3 linked regions of the Cricetulus griseus genome follow. The protein of the gene in region 2 binds, or shares a complex with, the protein of the main gene of each other region. Links are inferred from orthologs where the notes say so. Each region holds a gene or a part of one and is shown on either strand. Other genes may lie near its edges.

Region 1 (3,648 bases), on a different chromosome or scaffold from region 2:
ATTCAGATTGCTACCATATTACGAGAAATTCTGAAGGGACTTGATTATCTACACTCTGAGAAGAAAATCCACAGAGACATTAAAGGTAGGAGCTACTCTTGTTTTCATTTCTTTGAAACACCTGAAGTGGCGGAGCCTTCCGTACCTCTGTCCTGCCTACTCTGCATCAAGCTGAACTGTTGTGAACCTCTGGGCACCTTGCTATTACAGGCCCTTGTGCCCTGTGGGGAAAGCATGCCTGGACTCCCAGGGTGAGCCTGGGTGGGTATAACTGTAATGATGTCCCCCTGCTTGGTTGTCTTGCAGCTGCCAACGTTCTGCTCTCTGAACATGGGGAAGTGAAGCTGGCTGACTTTGGAGTAGCTGGCCAGCTGACCGATACCCAGATCAAAAGGAACACCTTCGTGGGCACTCCCTTCTGGATGGCGCCCGAGGTCATTAAGCAGTCAGCCTATGACTCAAAGGTGAGAGAGAGCCTGTGCTGTGGACCCACGACATTCAGATGTCTGTCCCCTTTCATTTTTGCATCCGTGTCTTTCCTTCCGTACCTGAGGTAGGTTGTAGAGGTAATTCTGTGAGCTTCCTTCTTCATCTCCCGCTGTGCTATTGGCTATCTTGTTCTTCTGGCCTTGGTGTGTGTTTGATCTGGTGGGGCCAGGAAGGAGCAGATACGAGGGTGGGCATAGCTTCAGCCTTCTGAGACATGCAGACCCTGGATAGATGGCTCGTGGCAGGCAATGCCGCAGCACAGGAGCACCAAGGTGGGTGGGATCTTGGCACAGTGATGAAGGGCAGGGCCTGGACAGAGCTCAGCCTGCTCTGTATAGATAGGGCTTCTAGAGAAAGAATCAGAGTGTAGTGGTATCTTGTTCCGACCATGGACTTGGGGTGGTGGCCACACCTTAGGGTGTGGCTTCAGTGTGTGACGATGGACGTGACCCCTTATAAGGAAGAGGAGGGGCTGGCTCGTGCTCTCTGAAGTTGTGGTTGGAGCATCCTTCAGGGCAGAGGCTGCCCACTGCATCAGAGAATCCACAGAGAAGCCCATGGCAGAATGGGGCAAGCATCATTCTATAGTGACTGCACCATGTGTTCTCATTTTGGTCTCAGGTCCTTACTCCCAGAGGCTGTGAGACAGCAGGAGACTGCAGTCCTCCCACAGTTGCTTGTTTTTCAGCTTCTGTACCTCGTGTTCATTGTTTTTTTGGTCCTTTAGTTTTTTGAAGCCTTGTAATAGGCCACTCCATTTGCTCGGGTCAGCGGCCTGTGCATAGTAACAATGATCATGGCAGAGAAGTAGCTTTCCTGAGTCCCAAACTTCACAACAGCAGCAAAAATTTAACTCAGGGATGCTCATAGGTCGAACATTGTTTTTTGTTTGTTTATTTATTTACGTGCGTGTGTGCGTGCGTTCGTCTATGTGAATATGCACGTATGAATGCTGATCCTTGGGAAGGCTGGAAGCATTAGGTCATCCCCGAGATGGAGTCAGGCTGCTCTAAGCTGTCTGACACAGGTGCTGGGAACCAGACCAGGATTCTTACGAGAACAGTGTGAGCTCTGAAATGTGTAGCTGTCTTTCCAGCCGCCAGTCCCCATCCCCTATGAAGACGGTTTTGCTCTGTTGCTGGAGTCTGACAAACTGGTGAGCTGCCTGCTTCAGCCTTCTGGTGTTGAGATTGCAATGATGTGTTAGCATGCCAGGCTCAAGCCTTTGTCACTCTTTCTTCTCTCTCTCTTCTTTTTAAGATAGGACCCTCCTCCATGTGTAGCAGCTTTCCTGGCTCATTAAATGGTGTGTGGAACATAGGCTAACTTGCCTTTGGGACCTTGGGTGGCTCTTGTAAGGTGTCATGGCATGTCATGGTGGGTGAAGGTGCAGCTGTCCCACGTTCTGGCTTGAGAGAACTCAGAGACTGGTGATGTGGTAGCTCGGGTAGGAGCTCTTTCCCCGGCATCCAGAAAGCAGCAAGTGTGCTTCAGGCTAGTCAGTTCTGCTCTCTGCATTTGTTGCCCAGGCCTTTTCCCTGAGTTCTGTCATACAGAAAGGTGGGTGTATTGTCCACAGCTCACTGTCAGTGCTCATGTCTGAATTTTGGTAGAAGAGGGACTAGAATCCAAGTTCCTTTCATTGCAGGTCATTCTCTTTCAGTTGCACTCAATTGGCTTTTCAACCATGGCCCTTAGGACTTGGAACCCAGGCCACCCATTTCTGTTTTACACATAGCCACCCCTTTTTTGTTTGCCAGAGAGCTCTCCTGATCTTGCTGTCATTCCAGAGCATCTCTAAAATGACTTTGTGGTACAGTTCAACCTTGGTTGTTTTGGGCTATGACTGTCCTCTCCTTACCTGATTTTCATTCGAATCCCCAGGTGCCACACGTCGTAAATGTAGTGATAGGCAAGGTTACGTTTGCTGGGATTTGGTAGAATCAGTTCATTAAGTTAATGGGCTATGGTAATGTAATTATTTGTTCTGAGGTAGAGTAAGTAATGCTGCTTGTGGAATGTTTGGGAGACGCCTTCTGTCTTCCTACTCACATTTGTTAGGGTAGGTTGGGTTTACACATGGATTCTTATTGTGGTCTTTGATTATGTGCCAAATGGCTTGGTGCTCATGGGCTCAGTGTCCAGGTTTGTCAGTGGGCTTCAGATGCACAGGGGGACTGCACAGGCTCCAGGTGCAAGGGCAGCTTAGCCAGGCTAGTGCTAGAAGGACATGGGACGGCTGGCAGTTAAAGCCTTGTCACATGGCCACACATCTGTCACCTGGCTGGGTTTAGATATTTCATAGTTTTGGGTGTTTTTGGTTTTTTTTTTTTGGACAAGGTTTCATTATATAACCCATTTTGGTCATGAACTTTCAGTTCCTCTGGCTCAACCTCCTTAGTGCCAGGATGGCACCAGGTTGTTCTCGGTTAGGACGATCCAAAGAGGACAGGTGAGAGTCAGGCCTTCCTTAATGCTCCTGTAGGTTGCTTTCCTATGTGTGGCTTTCTTGCTTCTTGTCACCTTCATGGTTCTGACTGGTACCCTGCCGTAAGGGTTTCTGGAACTTTCAAAGTTACAATGGCAAGTGAGTCCACTCCAAGTGGTTAAAGGTCAGCAATGTCCGAGTCCTGTAGTCACCTGAACAGGCCTTCTCTTGCCACGTGTAAGAGAGAAGGCTGTCCCTTCAGGGCCTGGTGATGAGTTCACAGGGCAGTGACGTGAGCAGAGGTGTCTCCCTCCACTGCAGGTCCCCATGTCAGCTGTTTGCCAGCCTGTTGTGTTGTTTGTTTTGAGTTGCTGACAGCCCTGCTCACTGTAGAGCAGCCCTAAGACTGCTGTGTGTTCCCAGTCTATCTGATGTGTCTTTCCCGGTGTGTTCTCAGCCTGGGTCCCGTGGACTCTGACATGAGACTCAGACTCAGCACTGGGGAGCCCTGCTGCCTAAGCCCATGTACCAATCACTTCAGTCAGTGCACAGTGGGTTCCTTAAATGGTGACTGTAGTGAAGGGCATTCAGCAGTCTTAGGAAAAGGCTGTCAGTAACTCAAACCAAACGAAACACACAACACAACAGGCCACAAGACTTAGTGACTTATTTTATAATGTTGTATGACGACACATAGACGAAGTCTGTACGGAAGTGCTAGTAGTGATTTT
Region 2 (4,075 bases):
ATTTCGTTTCAGGGTTTGTTTGTTTTTTGGTTTTTTTTTGGGTTTGTTTTTTTTTTTTTTTTTTTTTTTTTGGTTTTTCGAGACAGGGTTTCCTGTGGCTTTGGAGCCTATCCAGGAACTCGCTCTGTAGACCAGGCTGGCCTTGAATTCACAAAGATCCACCTGCCTCTGCCTCCTGAGTGCTGGGACTAAAGGTGTGCACCACCACTGCCCCCATTTATTCTATGATTTTGTTTGTTTGTTTGTGTTTGTTTGTTTGTTTGAGACGGGGTTTCTCTGTGGCTTTGGGGCCTGTCCTGGAACTATTTCTTGTAGACCAGGCTGGCCTCGAACTCACAGAGATCTGCCTGCCTCTGCCTCCTGAGTGCTGGGGTTAAAGGCGTGCACCACCACCACCACCACCACCACCTGACTGTTCTATGATTTTTTTTTAACTTTCTTTGAACATTTCATTTCATTGTAGCACAAATGGAAAGATGCTATTTAAAAAAAAAAAAAAAAAAAAAAAGTAGTGATCTTAATATAAGCAACAACAGGGAACTTACCTGAAGTTAATTTGGATGTGTGTGACAAAATTAAAGACTGATCAAATTTAGAGATGAACTGTAAAATTTAAGCATCAGAGAACAGAATGGACAAAGGTAAGATGGTTTGGAAATCCTCAAACTCCTGCACATAGCAAGGTAACAGTTTAATTGCTTGTTTTTAATAAGATTAGTGCTATTTGTTTTACATTCTTTTAACCAGGAAATATGCTAAAATCTAAGCAGATTCAAGCAAAAATCATCTCCAGCAAACTTGCATTAGTTAGACTTGCCTTCAATAGTGCCTTGAACCTGAACTCCGTAAGCTCAATGACAGAATGCATTAGACTCTTCTGTGTACTTTTCTCTGTCATTTGGTTGGGGACTAGATCAGCCAGGCATTATGAGAAAACTTACAAATAGCAAATGGACTTGATACTAAAGCAACTTAAAAGTAGGCATGAAAAAGTCAAAGAACACAAACTGTAGAAACTTCCATACAGGCGCTCCCTCACTTTATTGCCCAGACCTACCTCCCAGAAGCTATGCTATCTAAAATAGCTGCCCCTACCACACTCTACTGCTGTATCCTTAATTTTTCCTCACAGAGGTAACTATAGGCCATATCATACAGCTATATTTGCAGACTGTTCACCTTCTGACAAAACATAAGCTCCATGAGGGCAGCAGTCTTTTCTGTTTTGTTAATCCAGAGTCAATATACACAGGTGGGCATTCGATGAGCCATGAGCATGTGCTGAGTTAAGAAAATGATGAAACCAAAGCCCAGAGAGGTCACAGTATTTCCTCAAGGTCACAAAGCTGGCACAGCCTTTAATAGAGACCTATTTACCATAACCTTGCCTGTTTGCTCCTTCCATAGCCAGCTGCACCTCACCAAAGCAGTGTGTGTCTGCAAAGGAGTCTCTTCTGCAGATTTCTTTCTGGGCTTTTTGTGCCAAAAGAAAAAAAGGGGTGGGGGGCAAAAAAGTAACACTTCAAGCAATCCACAAACTAAACTAAAACTGTACTCGAATTTCATAAGCATAAAGGATTAGCCCATAAAACAAGAGAGGCACAACCACTCACAGCTCTTTGAGTTCCTTTGGAAATTAGTGTGTGTTTTAGAAGTTTTATAAACCTATTTATCAGTTCAGAATGGCCAGTGAGGCACCAACCTTTCTTTCATTCTTCTCCAGACCCCAACTGCTCCCCTCTGCCAAATATGCTTTATCTTGCTGGTTATGCAAGGAGACAACGCAACGCTGAAGCCCCTTTAGTTCCTTCTAAAGTGCATGTCAATCTTGCAGAACACTAGGCATAAAATAAACTCTTAGGAAGTTTTAGACCATGGGGAGAGGAGGAATCTCGGAACAACCAGCCTCCCGTCAGTTCATCCCTTCACTGAAAACCTACGAATCTAAACGAAATCCGGAGAAGGGGCAGAGAAGGGTGAAGAAACATTTTCAGACACAAAATTGGGGCTCATCCTGTTAGTAACACTCCAACTCTACGCCAGTTCGAAGAAAGCCAGGGCCTCCCTGATACAACTTGTGCTGTCTTCTCTGCGCACCTTCCTTGCAGGGAGAGTAGCCAACTGCTAAAACATTTTGCGGGGAATGTCTCTAGACCTAGGGTGTGAATCACGTTAAGCCAGGATGATTTGCTCAGTCTCTCAAAACTACTGTCAACCCAATCAGTAAACCGAAAGGGACAACCCATGATGTGGCATAGCAAACAGTTGAAATGAACACGGGAGTTGAGAGTGGGAAACAGCCGACGAAAAGGCTCCGGCAGAGAGGGAGTGGGAAACAGGGTTCTAGGAAATGGGGTCAGGCAAAAGCCAAAGGTGACTGGAGGAAAGAAAGGAGATGAAATTCTGGAAGGGATGGGCGAAGGCAAGGGGGAGGGGACGCGAGCAGGCTGGGGGAAGGGGCGAAGGGTCCGGGGCGGGGCGGAAGAGAGAGAAGAGGCGGGATGAAGATGGCCAGGCCGGGAGGGTCTTTACCTGCAGCTCCGCCCGTTCCACCTCCCACTGGGCTCTCTCCACCTCGAAGCGGGCCCATTCGTGCTGCAGGAAGTGCAAGATCCCGGGGAGGCTGTACTGAGCTCGGGCCGCCCCCGCCGCAGCCGCCCCGTCCCCGGCCGCTGCAGCCTCCGCCAGAGGCCCGAGTCCCTTAGCACCGCCAGCACCCGGGTGGTTGTTGCTGAAGAAGACGCCGGGACCCGCCTGTTCGTCCATGGCGGCCGCACGAACGCCGGGGAGCTCTGCCTAGGCGCCCAGCAGCGGCGGCAAACTGCGGCGGCCAGCTCTGCCTCCTCCCTCCGCCGCTCCCCGCCCACACCCCAGTCAGCAGGGAGCAGCCGCCTGGGCGCGGGGGCCGGGCGAGCCCGTGACGGGCCGGGAAGTGGGTCAACTGCGGCCCGCAGGGCTTGCCGGGAAATGTAGTCCCGGGGCGTGGCGGCGCCCGCTGCCTGTGGGGCGGCGCCTCTCCGAGGGGACCCTGAAGGCACGCCCCTTCCTTGCCACGCCCTCCCCTCCGGTTTGAGCGAGTTTCCTCTCCCGCCGAGCGGCGGGGCAGTGCCCTTAGGGCTCCCTTCACGCGGAAGTTCGCGGGCTTCGCTCCCTGTTACATACTCACACGCGGAAGTTATCACGCCGAGTACCAGCCCAACTGCACTCAGTTTAGGGCTTCCTGGTCGTTTTGTTAAGAAATGGGCTCAAAGCAATCCATCCGCTCGGTGCCCATCTGGGGCTTCATCAGAGCCCCGACACCCCGGCACCACGGGTCACGGTGGCGCCTGCCCTCCTTTCCCCGAGGGGGGCTCAATCAGGGGCTCGATCTTGTTGACAGACCGGTTGATCCTCTGTCTCTCGGCTGGAATTCGACATTTTGGAGGGCTTCTTCCAAATTCTAAGTTTAACACTTAATCTGAAACACTGGTCCCTTTCGGTAAATCCTGTGAAAGTAACAAGCACTGCTTGTTCAATCTCATTTTCCCCGTCTTTGCCGCACAGTTTAAACTCAGTTCACTGGAACAAGTATTTTATTGTCAGTTATATTCCGTGCCGGGAATATAAAGATAGATGTCACAGTTCTTGTCATCAAAAGGAGACAGACACATATGTAGAGTCACAGAGCCCTAAAGGCTACAATAGGAGGAAACCAAGTTCCTTTTTGCTCCACTGCTCTCCTGAATACCCAGGAGCCTCTCCCTTTTCACTTGTCACTTTCCCAGATTCTTGGTCAATTGACCTTTAACACCAAAAGCACACCAAAATCCTTTCCTTCCAAGTAGCTTGCCAATGCTTTCCCTCTCTGAGCTCCCTGCTTATCACTAAAAATTCACACTACACCAACGGGAAGGTGCCCGAAGAACGTTTAAGAAATGAAAACGAAATTAAGTAATTATTTGTCACTCTAACAAGAAATCTTTAATCTTGTTTTCTTCCTGTGGGCATGGAAAGAATAAGAAAAAATTAAAGATAGAAGCTGGTAAGTGACTTGCAAGGGAAGGACATCCTGTCCCTGTCCTCTCTCTGCTCCCTG
Region 3 (3,648 bases), on a different chromosome or scaffold from region 2:
TACTTAGCCCAACAGGGTGTTTCATAACAGTAATCAAAAAGCTGCGCAGGAGGACCAGGAGTTCAGGGCCAGCCTGGACTGTAATCTTATGCCCAGGATTTACCTTAGCGGTAATATATATAAACCATGTGCAAGGCTCTGGGTTTCATCTTTGCACACACACACACACACACACACACACACACACACACACACACACACACACGCACGTATGCACGCACGCACGCACGCACGCACGCACGCACCTCAAAAAGGAAGTGACTTAAAATCAGAGAACATTTATAAGTTTTGTATGTGTAACCATTTATCTATAACTACATTTATACAGTTTTGTCACAAAAGACTTCCATTACTGATAGGTAAAGATGAAAATATTTCAGTTTTATCCTTTCACAAACATATTGGATATTAGTTTTCAGTCATGGAATAGCCTAATACATTCAATAGTCAATATCTGGGACAAAATAAAGCATTAGTTTGTACTTATTAATAGCTGAAGTAATTACTAGATGACTAGTAAGTAAATACTACTAGGCTAGGTTTGAAGGTAGTATTTTTAAAATATGATATCTAACAAATAAAAACCCACATAGCTGGAGCACAGTTGTCTGTGAGCAAACTATGAATAAACAAAGGTTCTTAGTAACTATCAAAATCTTCACCACCATAGTACTTTGATTTAAAATGAAATATTATAAAAAGATTTTAAATAGGGTTTATTTAATATTTTCAGCCAGCCACTGAAAATAGCTTATCTGATCTAGATGCCTAAAAATAACAAGGGTTCCTGTTTGCTCTAGAGAGTCTTGAATTACCAGTATTTAATCCAGAAAGGGCAATCACACATATGACAGAAAATTCCCAGGGCTGCCTGCAACAAAGCCCATTGTGGGAATCAGGGGGCGATCCTAAAGGTCCTGAGATGGAGCTATCACTCCAAAGCATTCTATAAAACAATATGACCTGCCAAGATAGAAATTTTAGGAATGAATACAAAAGCAAACATTATGTTGCAAAGAACCAGAATTTTGCATGTGTAGTAAAATATGATGACAGCTAACTCTTAGGAATAAATGCTGAAATTAGAATTTTCCAGCCTCATCACCTCTTTCCTGAGGCCATTTCTTCATGCTATTCTTGATTAAAAAGACACAAGTAACCACTTGCTTACTGCACTTATTAATATGCAGCTTGTGTTTGATTTTAATTTTTGCAGTCCCAATAGGAATGGAACCCAATAAGACAAGCATGGTAGGCAGACTCTCTGCCAATGAGCTACACTCCTGTCCATTTCACCTGTAACCTAGCATACATACTTTTGTCACAAAGTCTGTACTTTTTGTAATACTGCACTGAATGCTCTCTGATGACAGGGGCGTGCTATTCATTTTTATCTCTCCAGCACCTGGTACCTTGTACGACACAGTGTCTAGCAATTGACTGGCTCTATAGTGAATTCACTCCTGTTCAATCTAATGTATACAATATTACAATAAAATAAGTTTTGCAAAGTCAGTAAAATTGATGAATTTTAGTATCAACATAAAGTGATATGTATACACAAAGATCAAGAAAGCAATGGCATCTAGGTTGCCAAGATGGAGGTAGAGAAGAGAGCAGTCTTCATCACATACACACACACACACACACACACACACAGTGGGGTGGAAGGAAGAGAAGGAGAAAGAACATACACCCACAAACCAAAATACCTCACTAGCCCTAACTGTAGCAACACAGGAGACACAAAAGAGCAGGCTCTCTCCACAGAAACGGTCACCTGTGACACTGGCATATCTGTGTAGCCAAGAGATGGCTAGAAAGGGAGAAGAAAGGTAGAAGTTATCAGTATTGCCCTGCAAGACGAACCACTGTGGTCCCAAGTGGACTGCTTCAGAAGATCCTGACACCATTACCGCTGAAGTGATCAACAGCCAGTCTTCCTAGGGTGCTCCAGGGAGGGCAGGCACAGCAACACAACCTTGCTCATGAAGCAAATAACTGCTGAGGCACTGGGAAAAGGAGCCTGCCTTATCCCAAACCATGCCAGTTCCTCATCCTTGGATTAATGGCAGCCCCATGAGGGTCCATAGTCCAGACCTTGGCTCTGGAGCTGTACTGAATCCACCCACATGTCACTAACTGGGGACACCACCTCATACTGCTAGCTCACACTCAGGTGGAACTACAGTCTCTCTTTTTGTGCCTGTGCTGCCCACACTAAATAGTCTGGTGGCCATGAGGGAAAGCAAGCACTCTCAAGGCTAAATGTCTTGATGGCTACATTTTACTCAGCATACCTCAGACAACTCAGGTGCCACCACACCAAAACAGGGCTTCCATCTATACAGAGCTAGAAATCTTTCTGCACATGCCTGATCTCCAGACATGCGCTCCTGCCTCTAAGGTAAAGCACTGTTAGTAAAGCTATGCAGTGAATCCATTCTACCGTGGCAATGTACCCACCCACAACTCAGATTTAAGGCTGCCGACAGAGCAATCTGGCTCACACTGGGCTGGAAGTAGTTTCTTTCTTATTTATCTCTTATTTATTTTATATTTCTTTATTATTTTGGCAGTAGGGAAAGGATTTATTTATTAAAGAATTCATCTGTGAGTCGCTGGATAAATGGGCACAGTTGACATATATCACTTTGGGGTAGAACATGTCATTCTGCGTGGGCTGGGAAGTGTCTCTGCAAATATTGCACCATCTTCTGTGAATGAAGGATTTGGTCATATAGATTTTAGTGTTGTGGAGGAAGAAAGCAAGAACCTGGGGAAAGTGCAGGTAAACTATATCATGTGCTTAGAATGAGTCATATGCTGGACTAAGGGATATAAAAACTAGGACTAGTCAAGATTAACTGTGTGTCATCAATGAGCTCACATCCTTGTGAGAGAAAAATGCATAAATAACCACCATAACTCAATGCTATGTACTCCATCAGTTCTGCAGTTGAGACAGATTAGAATATTAAGAATGGTGTGTGGAAATCCAGGGGTACAGCTTTTATGTGGCAATATGGCCTTAAAGACCACAAACCTTTCTTTTCCCTGTACCAAAAGTCCAGGGATGGAAGAGTGTGTCTGAGCTCTGGAGTATTTTCAAGAAGTGGCTGTTAACTCTAACAATGGTTGAGTTGACACCATCAATGGAGCTGGATTCTGCCTGGAGGGTAAAGATTGCCAAATCTTAATTTAAGTCTCTGTCTTTTGAGTATGGTGTGGTGGTGAAAACCTTAATACTAGCAGGCATATCTCTATGAGATCAAGGCCAGACTGTTCTACATTGTGAGTTCCAGGACAGCCAGGGCTACATAGTGAGACTCTGACTCAAAAAAAAAAAGAGGGAAAAAAAGAGATGCCACATTTCAAAAATAGAGTTAAAAGAAAACAAAATATAACGAAAACATCTTATGAAATAATACAGCATGAACACCTTATGAAATAATATATAATAAACACCTTACCTTCAAATAGGAGCCATAGTATTTGGTTACATATGAGCTGTCGCACTGACTCAGAACAGTTATTTCTTGTTGAATGTCTTCTATTTCATCTTCAGCTTCCTCAAGGTCAATGATTTTAATTGCAACCACTTGCTGGGTACGATTATCGATTCCTTTGAAAACTTCTCCAAAGGAG

Evidence for each region. The genes of interacting proteins can lie anywhere in the genome.
Region 1: Strn (region 2) and Stk24 share a complex: the UniProt entries of both Homo sapiens proteins name them as parts of the core of STRIPAK complex. The link is inferred for Cricetulus griseus from reciprocal best matches to the Homo sapiens genes STRN and STK24.
Region 3: Strn (region 2) and Stk26 share a complex: the UniProt entries of both Homo sapiens proteins name them as parts of the core of STRIPAK complex. The link is inferred for Cricetulus griseus from reciprocal best matches to the Homo sapiens genes STRN and STK26.

Annotation. Positions count from the first base shown.
Region 1 is NW_023276807.1:271,174,930-271,178,577, reverse strand, and holds part of Stk24 (serine/threonine-protein kinase 24), read left to right. Parts: coding exon 1-85; intron 86-306; coding exon 307-464; intron 465-3,648. UniProt on the Homo sapiens protein: Serine/threonine-protein kinase that acts on both serine and threonine residues and promotes apoptosis in response to stress stimuli and caspase activation.
Region 2 is NC_048600.1:5,296,885-5,300,959, reverse strand, and holds the start of Strn (striatin), read right to left. Parts: upstream 2,874-4,075; 5' UTR 2,767-2,873; coding exon 2,533-2,766; intron 1-2,532. UniProt on the Homo sapiens protein: Calmodulin-binding scaffolding protein which is the center of the striatin-interacting phosphatase and kinase (STRIPAK) complexes.
Region 3 is NC_048604.1:19,072,238-19,075,885, forward strand, and holds part of Stk26 (serine/threonine-protein kinase 26), read right to left. Parts: coding exon 3,474-3,648; intron 1-3,473. UniProt on the Homo sapiens protein: Serine/threonine-protein kinase that acts as a mediator of cell growth. Modulates apoptosis. In association with STK24 negatively regulates Golgi reorientation in polarized cell migration upon RHO activation.